Linked DNA regions of Schizosaccharomyces pombe. The main gene of each other region encodes a partner of the protein of the gene in region 2 in a complex. Each region holds a gene or a part of one and is shown on either strand. Other genes may lie near its edges. The genes, in order: mrpl10, mrpl31, SPOM_SPCC777.17C and mhr1.

Evidence for each region.
Region 1: mrpl31 (region 2) and mrpl10 share a complex: the UniProt entries of both Schizosaccharomyces pombe proteins name them as parts of the mitochondrial large ribosomal subunit.
Region 3: mrpl31 (region 2) and SPOM_SPCC777.17C share a complex: the UniProt entries of both Schizosaccharomyces pombe proteins name them as parts of the mitochondrial large ribosomal subunit.
Region 4: mrpl31 (region 2) and mhr1 share a complex: the UniProt entries of both Schizosaccharomyces pombe proteins name them as parts of the mitochondrial large ribosomal subunit.

Annotation. Positions count from the first base shown.
Region 1 is NC_003423.3:1,820,982-1,824,704, reverse strand, and holds mrpl10 (mitochondrial 54S ribosomal protein uL15m), read right to left. Parts: upstream 1,803-3,723; 5' UTR 1,770-1,802; coding exon 1,005-1,769; 3' UTR 748-1,004; downstream 1-747. Other genes in the region: Nop52 family nucleolar protein, read right to left, coding at 1-56, 101-143; U6 snRNP-associated protein Lsm3, read left to right, coding at 2,032-2,049, 2,091-2,183, 2,254-2,271, 2,326-2,440, 2,542-2,579; translation elongation factor EF-Tu Tuf1, read left to right, coding at 3,296-3,430, 3,482-3,723. UniProt on the Schizosaccharomyces pombe protein: Component of the mitochondrial ribosome (mitoribosome), a dedicated translation machinery responsible for the synthesis of mitochondrial genome-encoded proteins, including at least some of the essential transmembrane subunits of the mitochondrial respiratory chain.
Region 2 is NC_003421.2:886,603-890,211, forward strand, and holds mrpl31 (mitochondrial 54S ribosomal protein mL60), read left to right. Parts: upstream 1-1,983; 5' UTR 1,984-2,255; coding exon 2,256-2,603; 3' UTR 2,604-2,693; downstream 2,694-3,609. Other genes in the region: TIM23 translocase complex subunit Tim23, read right to left, coding at 1-131; oca8 (cytochrome b5), read right to left, coding at 804-953, 1,040-1,131, 1,638-1,785; ubiquitin hydrolase Ubp1, read right to left, coding at 2,835-3,609. UniProt on the Schizosaccharomyces pombe protein: Component of the mitochondrial ribosome (mitoribosome), a dedicated translation machinery responsible for the synthesis of mitochondrial genome-encoded proteins, including at least some of the essential transmembrane subunits of the mitochondrial respiratory chain.
Region 3 is NC_003421.2:1,617,090-1,620,602, reverse strand, and holds SPOM_SPCC777.17C (mitochondrial ribosomal protein subunit L9), read left to right. Parts: upstream 1-1,544; coding exon 1,545-1,634; exon of another isoform or gene 1,635-1,683; coding exon 1,684-1,759; exon of another isoform or gene 1,760-1,889; coding exon 1,890-2,029; 3' UTR 2,030-2,457; downstream 2,458-3,513. Other genes in the region: retromer complex subunit Vps35, read right to left, coding at 1-1,047; SPOM_SPCC777.12C (ER stress response thioredoxin family membrane disulfide oxidoreductase), read left to right, coding at 2,557-2,835, 2,956-3,393. UniProt on the Schizosaccharomyces pombe protein: Component of the mitochondrial ribosome (mitoribosome), a dedicated translation machinery responsible for the synthesis of mitochondrial genome-encoded proteins, including at least some of the essential transmembrane subunits of the mitochondrial respiratory chain.
Region 4 is NC_003423.3:1,799,366-1,803,535, forward strand, and holds mhr1 (mitochondrial 54S ribosomal protein mL67 ), read right to left. Parts: upstream 1,926-4,170; 5' UTR 1,894-1,925; coding exon 1,366-1,893; 3' UTR 848-1,365; downstream 1-847. Other genes in the region: vacuolar membrane cation-chloride cotransporter Vhc1, read left to right, coding at 1-847; SPOM_SPBC18H10.18C (uncharacterized protein), read right to left, coding at 2,991-3,328, 3,374-3,764. UniProt on the Schizosaccharomyces pombe protein: Component of the mitochondrial ribosome (mitoribosome), a dedicated translation machinery responsible for the synthesis of mitochondrial genome-encoded proteins, including at least some of the essential transmembrane subunits of the mitochondrial respiratory chain.

The DNA.
Region 1 (3,723 bases), on a different chromosome or scaffold from region 2:
CTTTTGGCTTAAAAACCGCTGCAACGATTCAAGAGCCTTATCACGAGTTTTTCGATCTTACAGTGTTAGTACATTAATCATTTATATGTAAGAAATTTACCATTAGCTGCAAGTTTCTTAATAAACGGCGACGGAGCCGACATTGTTGGTTTATTGACAAAGTGTTGAAGCAGTTCTTAGCATCGTTCCTTCCATACTGCGTTTTAGTGCACTAATTGGAGAGTTGATAAATGTCCCTTTCTAATATATGAAATAAGGAGTTTCCCAGTCAATATGTATTATTTTTTTTAGAATTGACCGTTTATGTAGATTAATTGATCATAAGGTTAATGTACTACTATGGTTCGCTTACACTTCTATTACAAATGCCGGTTTTCTTAGTCATTCTTATATATAAGTCTTTAACCGTTCCATTGATCAACAAATGTTCTTTTTCTTCTTCCTTGCATGCCTTTGAAAAGGAGATCCTTTGAAAGATCTTTTCCTGTTGGATAGACAATCGGAGGATGAAAAAATTTTAAGAAAGCTTTAAACAAAAAAAGGCAAAAGATAATAATTTAACAAACAGTCGGCAGGGGTTCTTGATTATACAAAAAAAGTGCATGACTGCGAATGCTCAAATCTACTAATGAAGCAAATGAATAAATGTGAGAAAGGGTTTATCTGACAGAGAATGAACTGACTACAACAAGGGGATTTGGGGGATAAAGAAGGAAGCTATATTTTCGAATGAGAAAGGTATTCAAAATATTACTAATGGGTATTGAACTGTAAGCGAAAAAGTCAGTAGAGAGCTCAAACACCGAAATTGGAAACGTAATTATACAAATGTACTAAGAAAAGGATGCAGATATTTCCTTACAAAACTCAACATGTAACCCATCCAAGAAAGTAAAGGAGGCTGCACGGAATCATCAATAGACATAACAAAGTTTTAAGGACATATTAGGAAAGCGGGATTTTTGATGAACATATATCAAGTTCTGATGTAATATGGGAACTACTTATTTATCTTTAACAATCGGTTCGTAGGGGAATCGTTGGTCGCCATAATATAGCTCTCGAATATTTTTAACGTTGGCAAGATACCCTGCAAAATGTGGATTTGTGTAGTAGCGTATGTCTTTCTTTGAAACTGGAAGGGGAGGGCGAGGAGGTGTACGAAAACTTGAAGGATGCAAATGGGCACGTAGCGCCAACGGGCTGAAATATACTGTTGTTATACTGCCGCCTGCATTTTTGATTTGTTGTATAGCTTGAACTGTAGCCTTAGAAACTTCTATGGAAATTGCTGTTTTAAGGAGTCCAGGTTCGTCAGCAGTAAGTTCAACTCCATGTTTAATACCTCTACAGCATCTACTATCGAGGAGGTCTTTCATAGTAATTGTCTTGCTAGCATCCAATCTACCACGATCAATCCATTCCTGAACTCTCCCTAACCCCAGACGCAACGGTTTCTTCAAATGTCCCGTACTGTGACCAACTTTAGGAAATAATTTGGTGATAGGAGTTTGACCACCTTCAAAACCAGGTTTAATTCTCCGTCCACGCCTTTGACCAGATCCTTTATGACCACGTCCAGAGGTTTTTCCTAAACCGCTCGCAGGGCCTCTACCCACTCGCTTCTTTGACTGATAATTTGCACTGTTGTTTAAATCATTCAACATACTGATGCCGCGGAAACTAGCACCAAATCTTGGATAACCAGAGGATCTCAAAAAACCATGAAATGAAGAACTGCGACAAACCCGAGATAAAATATTAAACATTTTCCAATTCAAAAAACGGGTTTCGTCGAGTTTAGATGGTAATAAGTCCAAGGCTGCTGTTTACTATTACAAAAGATTCGGACACACACGAATACGTAAAATTCTATAGCGTCTCATAAAAATATCTTTATTACTATATTCAGCATCGCTGCACTGCGCAATTCGAATTTGTTTCCTCCTTTATTTCTTCCTGACATATGCCAGTGCATAATTGCAGCAACAGCGATCTTGCTTGGTAGATATAATAACCCTTTACTTTATAATGGAATCGGCACAGGCAGTAAGATTTATCAACAGTAACTCGGTAACTAATGTTTGTAGGTCGCGGAACCTCTTGATTTGGTGAGGCTTTCTTTGGATGAAATCGTTTATGTAAAATTACGGGGAGATAGAGAATTAAATGGCCGTCTTCATGTATGAAATTTTTTTAACGTTTCTTGAATATTTTTCTTATTCTGAATTGGTTATACTAACTCGATTGTAGGCCTATGATGAACATTTGGTATGAATCATATTCATAACTCGCATTTGGATGGATTACTTACACGTATTTTAGAATATGGTACTAGGAGATGCTGAAGAAATTGTAACTATTTTTGATGATGAAGAGACCGATAAGGACAAGGCCTTAAAAACGATTCGCAAACATTATGAGATGCTCTTTGTTCGTGGTACGTAGATTCTAAATATTACGCTCGAAAAGTTTGACCATGATTAAGCTTTCCTTTTCGAAACTGTTTTTCCTTTTTCGCCAAATGCTAATGAACTTTAGGTGATTCGGTTATTTTGATTGCTCCACCTCGTAATTAAAGGAACGAATAAAATTACTATACAAAGCTATCTACATATTTTTATCTCATTCTTTTGTTTAAAATTTTTCGCTTTAGAGGTGCTTCTTCGTACAATAGTAACGACTTTTGATTTGAGTATTCTATATTACAGAAAAGTTTGATTTTCCTTTATTCCGTTGGATGGATAGTTTTATCTTTCTTTAGTCACGCACCACTTCTTGTTATTCCTTACATCCTTTTACTTAATAAAAGCAAAAGACTCTTCGAAGTTAACCAACATTCACGAGACGCTGAGCTTTGTCATTGAGACTTTTCATTAATGGTTTTATTCTTTGTACTTGACAGGATAGTAAGCGATTTTTGCTTGCATGGTGGTTGCTCTTGCGATCTAGCAAAATCAGATTGACATTCCTTTAGAGATCAGAGACATAATACCATTCATTGTGCAAATAAAAAAAAACTATCAATTGCTTTCGATTTGGCGGTGTTGTTCACTAGTTCATCTAGTATTTTTTTATTATTAACAAGCGTATCATCATATATAGGCGTAGCGGTAAAATAGAACAAAATAAAATAAATTCTACAAATATTGATTGTATCCAAACACCCAGGACCATTTATTTCATGAAATGCTCGTGTCAATAGTATTCTCATAACGATGCGCACCGCTGAGACTTATTTCAAGGACAACACGAGCGCCAGAGACCTCTCCTCTGCCTACACGCTCCCTTCGTTATGAATTCAGCTAAAGCTACCTCTCTCCTCTTTCAAGGCTTTAGAAAAAATTGCTTGCGATTGAACCGCATTTCTTTCGCTTCAGGTTTGATTAACCGGTTCACCGTCCCAGCTCGAACTTATGCTGACGAAAAGGTATTTTTTTTTCATTCTTCATCTTTTTGATTACTTGTTAACTTTTTTAAGGTGTTCGTTAGAAAAAAGCCGCATGTCAATATTGGTACTATTGGTCATGTTGACCACGGTAAAACGACGTTGACGGCTGCTATTACTAAATGCCTTTCTGATCTTGGTCAAGCTAGTTTTATGGATTATAGTCAAATTGACAAGGCCCCCGAGGAAAAGGCACGTGGTATTACCATTTCATCTGCCCATGTTGAATACGAAACTGCTAATCGTCACTATGCCCATGTGGATTGTCCTGGTCA
Region 2 (3,609 bases):
AACTTGGCGGGATCGAATTCAGAACCCGATAAAATATCTGAGGCTGTAGCCTCGGTAGGGACCTGCAATTCAGAAGAATCAATCTTTGAGGTTGGTTCCTCTTCTTTATTTCTTGTAAACAACCAAGACATATCTTAAAAAGTTGATTTTTCGCAAAGGCGCGATGGTGGTTGTCTGCAGGTAGCGGTGGTTACAGGAACTGTGTATTAGCACCTAAATTAAAATAGTAGAAAAAAATTGTTGAGACGTAAAAAGTGTCGCAATTATCATGAATTTACATTTATATATAAAAAAAAAGACTTAATGAATAAATCCTCGATCGTTAAATAACGCCCGAACTTATTTACTCGATCACCGCTTAAAATTCTAGACAAGTTGGGCATAGGTCCATCGATAAAACAATAGAATAGAAGAAACTATAAAACTTTTTTTTATGAGAGAACAAACAACGAAAATACAAAAAATATAACACTAAGTATTATCAATTATACAGTTACGCAAAGCAAGCATAAGACCGTTGTGAATTAAATTTACGTCCAGACAAATCAAAGGTCTCTATTAATATTAATATGCCATTCACATTAAGAGCCAAACCAAAGCGTGTTAAAGGAATACATTGAATCCGTAAATATCCTAAGTACGAACAGGTAAAGAAAGCTAAAGTAGATATCTAACAACAACAAAAAACGAAACTTGCTAGCTCAAAATCACAAAACCATATTCAGCACATTTAAACGACCCAAAACGAAAGAAGGCCTTTAAATTTCTTTGAGCGCAAAAGTAAGACTGGGAATTTAAGCAGTCTATTTGAGGACATACTTGCGAAAAGCAAAGTAAGCAACAACCATCACAAGGACAAAGAGCCACATAGCAGGCTTAACTGGTTGAGAAGAATCATATCCACTTCCACCAGCGGCAGCACCAGTTGTGGGAAGCTGAGGGCCATCTTCAGTCTAAAATATGTTAGAGTGTCGAAGCAAATTTTTACAAAAATTTTAACGAGCCTATGGCGAACGAAGAGAAAAAATAAATGACATACTCTGAGCAAGTTTCCAATGTAAAATTTTTCGAGCAACTCCTGAGCATCCTCAGAGTGACCAACATCCTCGAAAGGACCGCTAGCATCACGACCTAAAACAAGTTAATAATCACAGAAACGAACAAAAAAAAGCCCCTAGCGATGGTAGAGAAAGGCAGAAACTTTGTATAGCCAATCCAAAAGCCGTATGTGAAGAATCGAAGCGATATCGTCAATCAATCTTTCCAAAATTATGTATTTCAGTGTATTCAGAGTACTGGAAATACAAAACATCGAGTAGAGAGCGATCAATCTTGGAACATATAGACTGTACTTAACAATTCACCTTCAATGACAATGTCGCATTAAACATCGTATTTATTCAGGATATCGCATCTATTTTTGTACGTTCCTACGGCAAAGATTCGTCCTGAATCTTTCAAATTAAAGAACATGTGTATATGCGACACCTAAACTCTCGTGAAATTCAAAGTTTTGTAACGCTAGTTGTCTGAAACTTCGATTTCTACGACTCCACACAATCGCGACCAATTTTTATGCATTACAACCAATCTTCCTCAAGACCTCCATTATCGCGTACCCCTAAAAATTTACTTACCGGCCAAATCAACAAGAACCTCTTCACCACCAGGGTGAGCGTCAAGGAACTTGGAAATATCATACACCTTGTCTTTTACAACAATGTACAAATCATCACGAGTGTTATGTTTTAACACTTCTTCAACAGTAATTGTCTTCTCTGCCATGATCAAGTTCTGCTTATTCTTCCTTAAAGGTGGTATTTAACGGTTATAACCCAGGAGCTAATTACTCTCGAGATGTTGGTTGCAAATGCCCTATCGCGATTTATCTAGCAGGTGGGAAGTAGAAATGAGCCGATTCTTACTGGCAGGTGGTCACGTGGATTCGAGTTGGAAGGTACACCCAAGGATATGAACTTACCCAAAACCTATATCATTCTTCAGTTAACCAACTCCACCATTTTGGAGGTGTAGTGTTTATATTTGAATGGCAATATAATATTTAAATCAATTTAGGACGCTAATCAAGTTAATTTTTGTTCACATCTTTGCTGTTTCGTTGGAGCCGTAAACTACTTTGTGACAAACCATCAACTACTCAGAATTTGTCTATCACCCAAAAACTTAACAAAAAATTTTTATTTGCTCTTTTTGATCCAACCTTCTTCCTCTCCTTTTGATTTTATACGAAAAATATGCTGGGTGCATTTAACTCGACTTTGGCTCGCTTTGGCGGTCTTGTTCATAAAGTACCTTGGAGATTATCCCAGCGAAGAAAATATCGTCACCGTCAACGACTTCGTGCCGTCGATGAGGTGGTAGATGTTTTGCGCACGGCGTTGCAAGAGAAAAATCAATCGTGCAAACGAATTGAAAGTTTCGTTGCTAACCATCAGCCTGAATCCCAAATGTCACCAAAGGATAAATACACTATGTTTACCAGGAAGACTCAAGGTGCCGGTCTCCAAGGCTTCCGCAAGGGTGTCCATAAATCACCAAAATGGACCCGTAGTACTAATCGTGTTAATCCCACTGGCTTTTAAAAACGTCTGGTTGCAAAAGTTTACTACTTTTTTTTTCATAATTTTAATGCTCTATGAATAATAAATGTAATGGATTATTTTAATAGCTTATTTTATTACTTTTTTATTGCAAAAACTCCCACCTCTTCCTCGTCTTCGTTCATATTCAATTTCCAGTTTCATACATATTCAAACAAACGACATTAGCCTTTAGTTAGAGTAAAGTTCATATCACCTCTATTATACGTCTCTTTAATTCTTTGCTCTGTAAAACAATACATAAGCAGACGATGTGACAATATCCTCCGGATCTATTTCACAAATAGCTGTATCATCAAACTTAAAGAATGTTTGGCTCGATGCATCTCTTGCATAGGCAGTATAATGACCATTACTCATAAACCCGTGATGATTGTCCACTGCATACAAATCGTAAAGCATCGATTTCTGTGACGATAGCCACTCATGATCTTTTATAAATGGACTCAAAAATTGCTTCAAATTGAGATCAAATACTGGATAAACTACTAAATCCCTTCGTTTACGTCTTCTCCGCAAATCTCCACCGTGGCCGCTGAATCGATTTAAATGAATGACTAGTATTTTTGGCAATCGCCAGATCTCCAGCCGTTTTGTTGCCGGTCGAAATGCCTTACACCCAGGACAATACCAGGAATCCTGTAAATCAAGCTGCTCTGGCTTGGAAAACTCCAGTAAACAATCTTCAAGGGTGATGGACTCCATATGGAACTGAATTTTTTCAAATATCCATTCGCAGTTATAAAATAACTTTTCATATTGTTGATCGTTCCATAGACACATAATTACAGTTTTGTCGTCAATAACGATTTCCTCTTCCTCCACTATTTCAAACCTTTTAACCTCAATTTCCTTTATGCATTCCCATTTCCCGGCCTTACTTTCCATCCGCTTCAGTCCAAGCTGAAGAGTTCCGATTGCTACGTCTATGCCTGCATAAACTCGATACAGTTCGACAATCTCTTTCACTAAATCATTTGTGAGTACA
Region 3 (3,513 bases), 730 kb from region 2:
AGGGCATTCTTGCTCGTCTTTTTGCTGTACTTCCTCATTAATTTTTATGTCTCCTAATTTTTCGGTTACAGTCTCAGATTCATCTTCATTAGAAGAATCAGATTCATATTCACGTTGGACATAGTCCGTAAGGCGATTCAACATAGCGACCACAAGTTGGGTTACGTTTACGCTTGGAGAAAGCTTTATGACCGTACCGAAATATGTATCGAGGGTTTGAAGATGCATATTATCAGAAAACGCCTGACAAATTACTTCAACAAGATACTCTTGTGCAAGTGAGTCCCGACATTCAATAATTTGCTCGATTATGGCAGGAAGGACATGATCTCGGTAAGTGTCTATATCGAGGTTTAACTGAGATAATCGAACCAAATTCAGCCCAACAAGAACCTTTAGCTCATTCCTTTCTTGGGTACGTTTGGAAAATTCTTTAATTGGACCAAGATGTTGGATTCTAACCCACAATTTATTCATTTCCGTAAAGTTGATAACTAAAAATTTAACAGAATCGAGTACGGTTCCTTTGCGAGATGCATCTTCCTCATCTTCTGATCCCAAAGGTAATCCTTTTCTTGTTTGGGTAAGCAGATAATGGCGCAAAAAAAGACCTCTTAACGGATGCTGAACACCTCTACACATATCTAACAAATCATTCATAATTTCACGTACAAGGGCATTAGGCGTTTCCAAATAAGCGCTTCCAACGGTTATCATGAGATATAAACGAGGGACAATACTACCGGCATATTGAACAAGTTCATAAAGGTCCATTAGGTTGTGAGTACCGTTCAGATGCGTTTCCAGCAATGTGCCCCCAAGTAAACGCAAGCTTTCCATATTAAACATATACAGCTCATAGTATTGTTTTGGAGTAAGTGCAGAATTTCTCATTTCCACGAGACTAATACTGCAATTACGAAATGCATCCATCAATCGTCCTGTCTGCAAGTTTCTTTGCATCAGCCTACTAGACTGCTTGCAAATATTTAAGGACTCTTCCAAGCTCCTTGTAATTTCTTCGTTAGCAGTATTAATTCCGTTCATAGAGCCCTAAATATCCACTTCCAAGTGTTTCAATTTAACCAACGTAATTGTAATTTCAGTATAGTTTTACTAGCGGCCCAACTTTCGAACAGAAAAACAGGATGTTTGTTATTCTTTTTAATTCACTAATATTAGCAATGTTTTTTATAATGGGTTCGTTGAAATGTCTACAAATAAAGTTGGTGGTACTGGTTGAGATATATTGGTAGATCTTGAAGTATTGCGCGCAGCACAGCTTGGAATCGCGCTTCGCTCAATTTCAAATTGACCATTTTCATATCACAAATATCGCGCCTAAATAGTATATTATTTTGATAACAATTAAAAGAAACTATAAATCTAATCATCGGAAAGGTTCACACTACAAGATTCGTCTTAGACCTCTAAACTAACGGTTTTTGAATTCTACATTCAATTGAGAATTTATTTAAGCTGCTTTTCTTTTTATTTTGTAAAAACTTTCTTGACGGATTTCTTGGTGCACCCATTTAATTGAAATGAGTATTATGAAACCGACAACTCGATTTTTTCGCTTCAATTCCCTTGAACTAGCAGTCTCACCTTTTCAAAGAATTTATGGGCAACTGGTATGTCAAGCTTATAAAAAAAATCACCGTTACTTACACAGTTATTTAGAGGTTTCTTCGTAAACAGCCAAAACCGTTTTTGGTAAAACTGTTAAACAACGAAGTTTCAAAGCTAGGAAGGCAAGGTATGCTAAATTTTTCATAATTATAATGTTCTTCATTTCAAACCTATAATAGGGAGGTAGTGGTTACATCCTTTTATTATAAGAAATGCATTCTTTTAGCCGTCGTAGGAAACTACTAACTTTACAAAAGGTGATGTCGTCTCAGTGACAAGGGGATATTATCGAAATACACTTTTCCCCAAGAAGCAAGCGATTGCTGTTGATGCCTTAAAATCTATGAAAGCACATTTGTTACAAGGGTCCGAATTCTCGACGAAAACGAAGGAATAATAATACCTAAACTCTCACTTAGTTCAATCAACATAAAAAGAATTTATTGAGTTTATTAGTGGATTAATTAAGGCTTAGCTAGCTGCAATTTGAACAATTCTAGCTTTTCATTACGAGATATTGTTACATTACTAACAAGAATTACGAAGTATTCAGCATTGACTTTTTTCTATAAAAAAATATAAAAAATTTAATTAAAAGGCTTCACTAGAAGCGTAGTCTCTTTCTGAGTTTGAATATTATCGTTATTGTAATATTTTATCAGGGTTGATGCTTAGTGTTTCTCAATTACAATAACAAGCTTTGGATTTTCCTATAATAGTATAGTTAATATGAAATTTAAATCCTTGAATGGTAAACGTTTACTGCGTATTGTGCGGCCATCGTTTCTGCTCTATCAGCTCGTCTAGCATCTTCTTCTCACAGCTACCAACTATTTTGAGTTGGATCCAAAATCATCTCATAACTCGTGTTTATTATTGCTAAAGCAGCAGAGAAAATATTTTTCATTACCTTATTCAGCTTCAATGAAAATTAATTTGTTTTTTGTGTTTCTATTTGAACTTCTGCATTTCGTGGCAGCTTATAGTTGTGAAGGAGATGAATCAGCTGCCATTGAAGCTATGAATGTCTTACAGGTACCGTATGAAAAATACAACACAGACCCAGTTTGCGCTTTTGACAATTCCACCGTTGTCGAACTTTCAGATAAAACCTGGGATCATGTCATTGAATCTGGCAAATGGTTTGTGCAGTTGACTGCTGAAGGCTGTGCTAACTGTACTCTTGGAGAGCTACTTTTTAACGTAAGTAATGGACTGCATTTAATGTTGTCCAAATGCTCTTGTTATGAGATTGAATTTTGAGCCTCGGAAATAAATTAAACCATCTTTGGATTTAATTGAATCTGTACTAACTAATTTTAGGACCTTTCGCATGCTTTTCATGAAAAATATCCGGATGTCCACTTTGCCCGTGTTTACTTGAGCAGTAGCCTCGAACTTTCTGTACGCTTACTCATTTCTCGGATTCCTTCTTATTATTTCATCGATAATCAAAATTTCTACCGTGTTTCTCCTCAGGTTCTTCCCAAGAACAAGGCAATCGCCTTATATGAAAAAGACGGGTTCAAAAGTATGAAAAAAGAGCAAGGTTTTTTCTCTGTTAACGGGCCCTTGAAGTCCTTTTACTGGGTCTTTGGAAAGGCACTTGCACTTTACGGACACTTAAGTCAAAAATACACCCCTCTTGGAATGAATGTAGCTATTTTTGGGATCTCTGCCTACATAATGTATCGCTCTAGCAAAAAAGCGAAACAAAAACAAGCCGCTGCTGCTGCCGCCGCCGCTGCAAAAAAGAAATAAGCTATGTGGAAAATACTATTAGTTTTTGATAATATCAATTTTTTGAATAATTATACGAGAGTTTGTTACATGTTCTATATGTAAGGCACCGCTCTAGTAAAGGTTTATACCCTATTTGTT
Region 4 (4,170 bases), on a different chromosome or scaffold from region 2:
TTGGATCCTTCATACAGCTTCAGATTGGAAACAAGGTTGTAGGCTACGGCTTATCACTCTTGTTGAATTCGAGAATGAAATAGAGGCAGAACGAGAAAGCATGCATCAAATGCTAGAAACGTTCCGTATCAAAGCCGACGTTGTAGTGCTCTGTCTTGCTGCAATGAATTTGGATGCATATAGGTACATTGTCAAAAATGAGCATGTGAGACCTAGCAAGTCTTCCGAGCTTGAAAACTTACTGAAAGATGACTCGTGGTGGCAGGAAGAAAAGAAAAGAAGAGGAAATACTGTAGATTCCTTAGGACCTATTCGTTTTCCACGTCGTATGTCTGGTTATAACTTTAGATCTGCCAGCTTTGATAAGAGTGCTCCACCTTTAAGTGTGCCATTGAGTTTCCGCCTTGGGCCACATATGCATTCAGTAAAGTCGTTTGAGACTGAATCTTCTTTCGGAAACCGTTCTTTATCACCAAAACAAGAAAATAGAAGAACTTATTCTGACAGTACTATTGAGTCATCTCTGATGCCCAACGTGGTCCGAGAAGATAGTTCATCTGATAGACTAGCACCAAAGAAAAAAATAGGAAGGGACTATTCTAAAGAGAAGTTGACGTTTAACGATTTATCCTCGAGATCTCAATACATAATTATGAATGAAATCGTGCTGAAACATACTAAAAATACTTCTGTATTGTTTACTGTTTTACCAGCACCTTTGGCCGACACTCATAAGAGCTTTCGAAAAAGCGAGGAATATGTTGATGACTTATTAATATTTATGGAAGGATTACCTCCTTGTGCATTAATCCACTCTAAGAGTTTAACTATAACTACCGCTCTTTAACGATTTATGGTATTTATGTCTTTGGTTTATAAAGTCTTTTCTTTTGGCATTGTTATAACTATTTAAATATTTGGTCCATGATTTCTATTTTAGATGCTAATATTTTTTTTTTATTCTGGACCAAACTTTAAACAAAAAAAAAACGAGGCAATAAAGTGATGAGTTAATCTTGCATATATTTCATAGGAGCTCGAAAACTTCAAAATGGTAAAATAATAAAGATACGAGTATTTGGTGTCGATTTGTATTAAATTTATCTTGTCTTGAGTATCTAGCCAATACTCTCGCATTGAAGTACAATGATAAGCTAAGGAAGCTGTCCAGTGCAATACACTGGATACACTGGGAAGAATTCGTAACCGTCTTTAGTAAAAAGGACTTTATCATTAAGTAAAAAAGATTGAGCTAATATGAATATGTGTTAGCTTATACTTCATATAATGCCCTTTAAGAAAGCCTAAAAATGGATGAGGGGTGTTTTTGAAGGAAGAAAGTGAGAGAAGTAATGATATTATGCTTCATCTAGCTTCGTCTACGGTTGTTTTTTCACGGAAACCTCGCGAGAGTTTAATTTCCTCTGAATCAATCTGCACACTAGGGGGCCAATCTGCATATTCACTATCGGATTTATCACTCAGTTGCAAACGAACGGAATTTTCGGGAAATTTTTCTTTATTTAAAATATCTGCCAAGTCCGCAATCGTGTTAGGAACCTCTTGTCGCATTATTTTTCTTCTACGAACGGGTATAGGCAATTTCAAAAGGTCACTAGTCAGTGGTTGAACAGAACGATATTTTCGATAGTTTAACAGTTGCATAAAAACAGATTGAAACATTGATTCATTAGGAAATTCGACTTTTAGTAAAGGAACCCAATGGTCTTTACGGAGCTTAGCGGGTCGCATACCATTTGGAGCGACTGGCTTTTGAAGTGGGTAGGGAAGTTGAAACAACGCAGTCTTTTTTAAAACATTTCCTTGAGATAAAAGTACCTGATTCGTTTGAATATGCCTAAATATATAGAGATACTTGTTCTTTTCAAGCATTCTTTCCTTTTACGAGTACAGATTGGCTGTTTACATATATGCTTGTAAGAGATGCGAAGTTTGTTAATAGCGCGTCCGCGTATAAACGTTGTGCCCAATAAACACATATCGTTTGCTAGCACAGATGTTAGGCAGCATTGCGCGTTGAGCAGCCAAAAACAGTAAATGTTTTAATGATACGGTGAGTGACGGAAAATTTGAATACTGGTCAGCTACGCAGTTTAATATCTATTTAAAGTGTCGCTCACGTATTTCGGTATCTGCTTAACGATACTTAAAGTGCAATGAATCTCTCTGTGACCTAATATATTATGTTACACAGTTAATATAAGCAGCAATTTCAATGGGTGTTCTCTGAAATAAATTATATTGTTACCTATGGACATAGCAAAAAATATTACTTTTCGCTTGGGCTGAATGTTGGTAGATTTTGAATACGAAAGATTTCATATAATACAAATTGAATAATTTTTTAATTCTTTTTGTAAAGAAATTGCTACTGACCAGGAATTGGGAAATCGCATTATTTAAAATAGGTTTTCGCTCTACACCAAATTGATTTTTCATTTTTATTTGTTTTAGAAACAAGTTTGAACTTATATTTCCTGTATATACTGTATTTTAAAGCTCCGAACACTTGAAAATGATATATGGAATCCTCATTTTATGCATTAAACAGAAACTAAGGTTAAATCACTACTTTGCGTCTTTTGAGTAATGCCTTACTTGTTCAATTTTTTAATTCGCAAATCTTACAAAGTCATAATTAAGGATTGTATATCAATTTGGTAAAACAATAAAGAGGATGATTAATTTATAATTGACAACCAGATTCATTAGTTAAATGACTTTTCCTAGCACCACAGAAACACATCGTGTTTACTCTATAACAGAGACAAAAATGTATGTATGGAAAAAGAGTGATGACTGTCATCGGAAATGATTAAGTGACAATGCGTATAAGGTAATAATACAAGAAATAGAAATAAAGGGGAAAAAAGGAGCTTCTGCAGGAAAGTAAGAAAATTAGTAATGAAATAAAAAAGACACTCGCAGCTGGTTGGCAGCCCCTTGATTTTTTTTTCTAGCCATGACTTTTAGCTGCTGCCCGATTCTACATCTTTAGAAGTGTTGCAATCGGTTCCCTCAGCCATTGTGTTGTCACTTGCTGGCTCTGTGGTAATTGCTTGGCCTCGCATAGACGACATTTCAACGTCGCCAGTCTCTTCATCTTGTTCTATTACTTCGAGCCCGAGAATAAACAACAGTAAGGATAAAATAATATGAGCCAAACCTTGAATTGCTTTAGCTACATATTTAACTAGGCCTGCAATCGTTTTAGCTACATGTTTAGCTAGACCTTCATTCGCTTTAGCTACAGATGGTGCATAAACATAAGCTTCTTCAAACGCTAATTTAATTAACGAAAATGAAACTAGAAAATCGTTAGCCATGAATTCAAATCATCTCAAAAACTTACAATAAACAATAATCACTGTCATCACGTATGTAAATATTAACACTATAGTTTCAATAACATATTTAACCACAGAATTAAGATCCGCCAATGCCTGATCGAAATAATTATAAAAATTATGATAAAGCAATAAAGTAAGAATGAAAGGAAGGAAGATATGAAATATCGCATATCTAGCTTGTGTAAGTCGCACATTTTCCGAACGCTTTCTTAATCTAGCAGGTGCAGCCATTGTATTTTTTTTTCGTAACGATGGTTGTGTTAATGTTGAGTTTTGTTTGACAATTGGATTGTTTACATGATTATTGACTGAATATGAAGGACAAGAATGTAAACAACCCTTCTCCAAATCATTCCAAACTTCATTGTATTGAGGTAACTTTTCGTCTGGCATTTTGAAGAGCCTTTTACCAATAGTGATTATATACGTTTGAGTTCCAACTTGAACATTGCAAAATAAAATGCGAAATTAAAATATAAAATAGATAAATAGATCAAAACCAAACACTTGAATAGCCTAAAAATCCACGCGTTCTAAGCATCCAACAAAAAGAGATGGCTCTTGTTAAGGAATGAAATTGAATCATTGTGCTGTCAATATCAATTTACGCACAAGTTAGCATTAATTAGGCACTGCGTACCAATACGCTATAATAGCGATGCCTTGCTTCGTTTTATCATACTTTGAAAAGTATGCAACACTAGTTATTAGACAGTGGGCTACACTAAAGACCGCTATAATGTTTTTGCATCGCGAGTTACTATTATGTTACATGTTTTATTTACTCTACTAGTTTTGC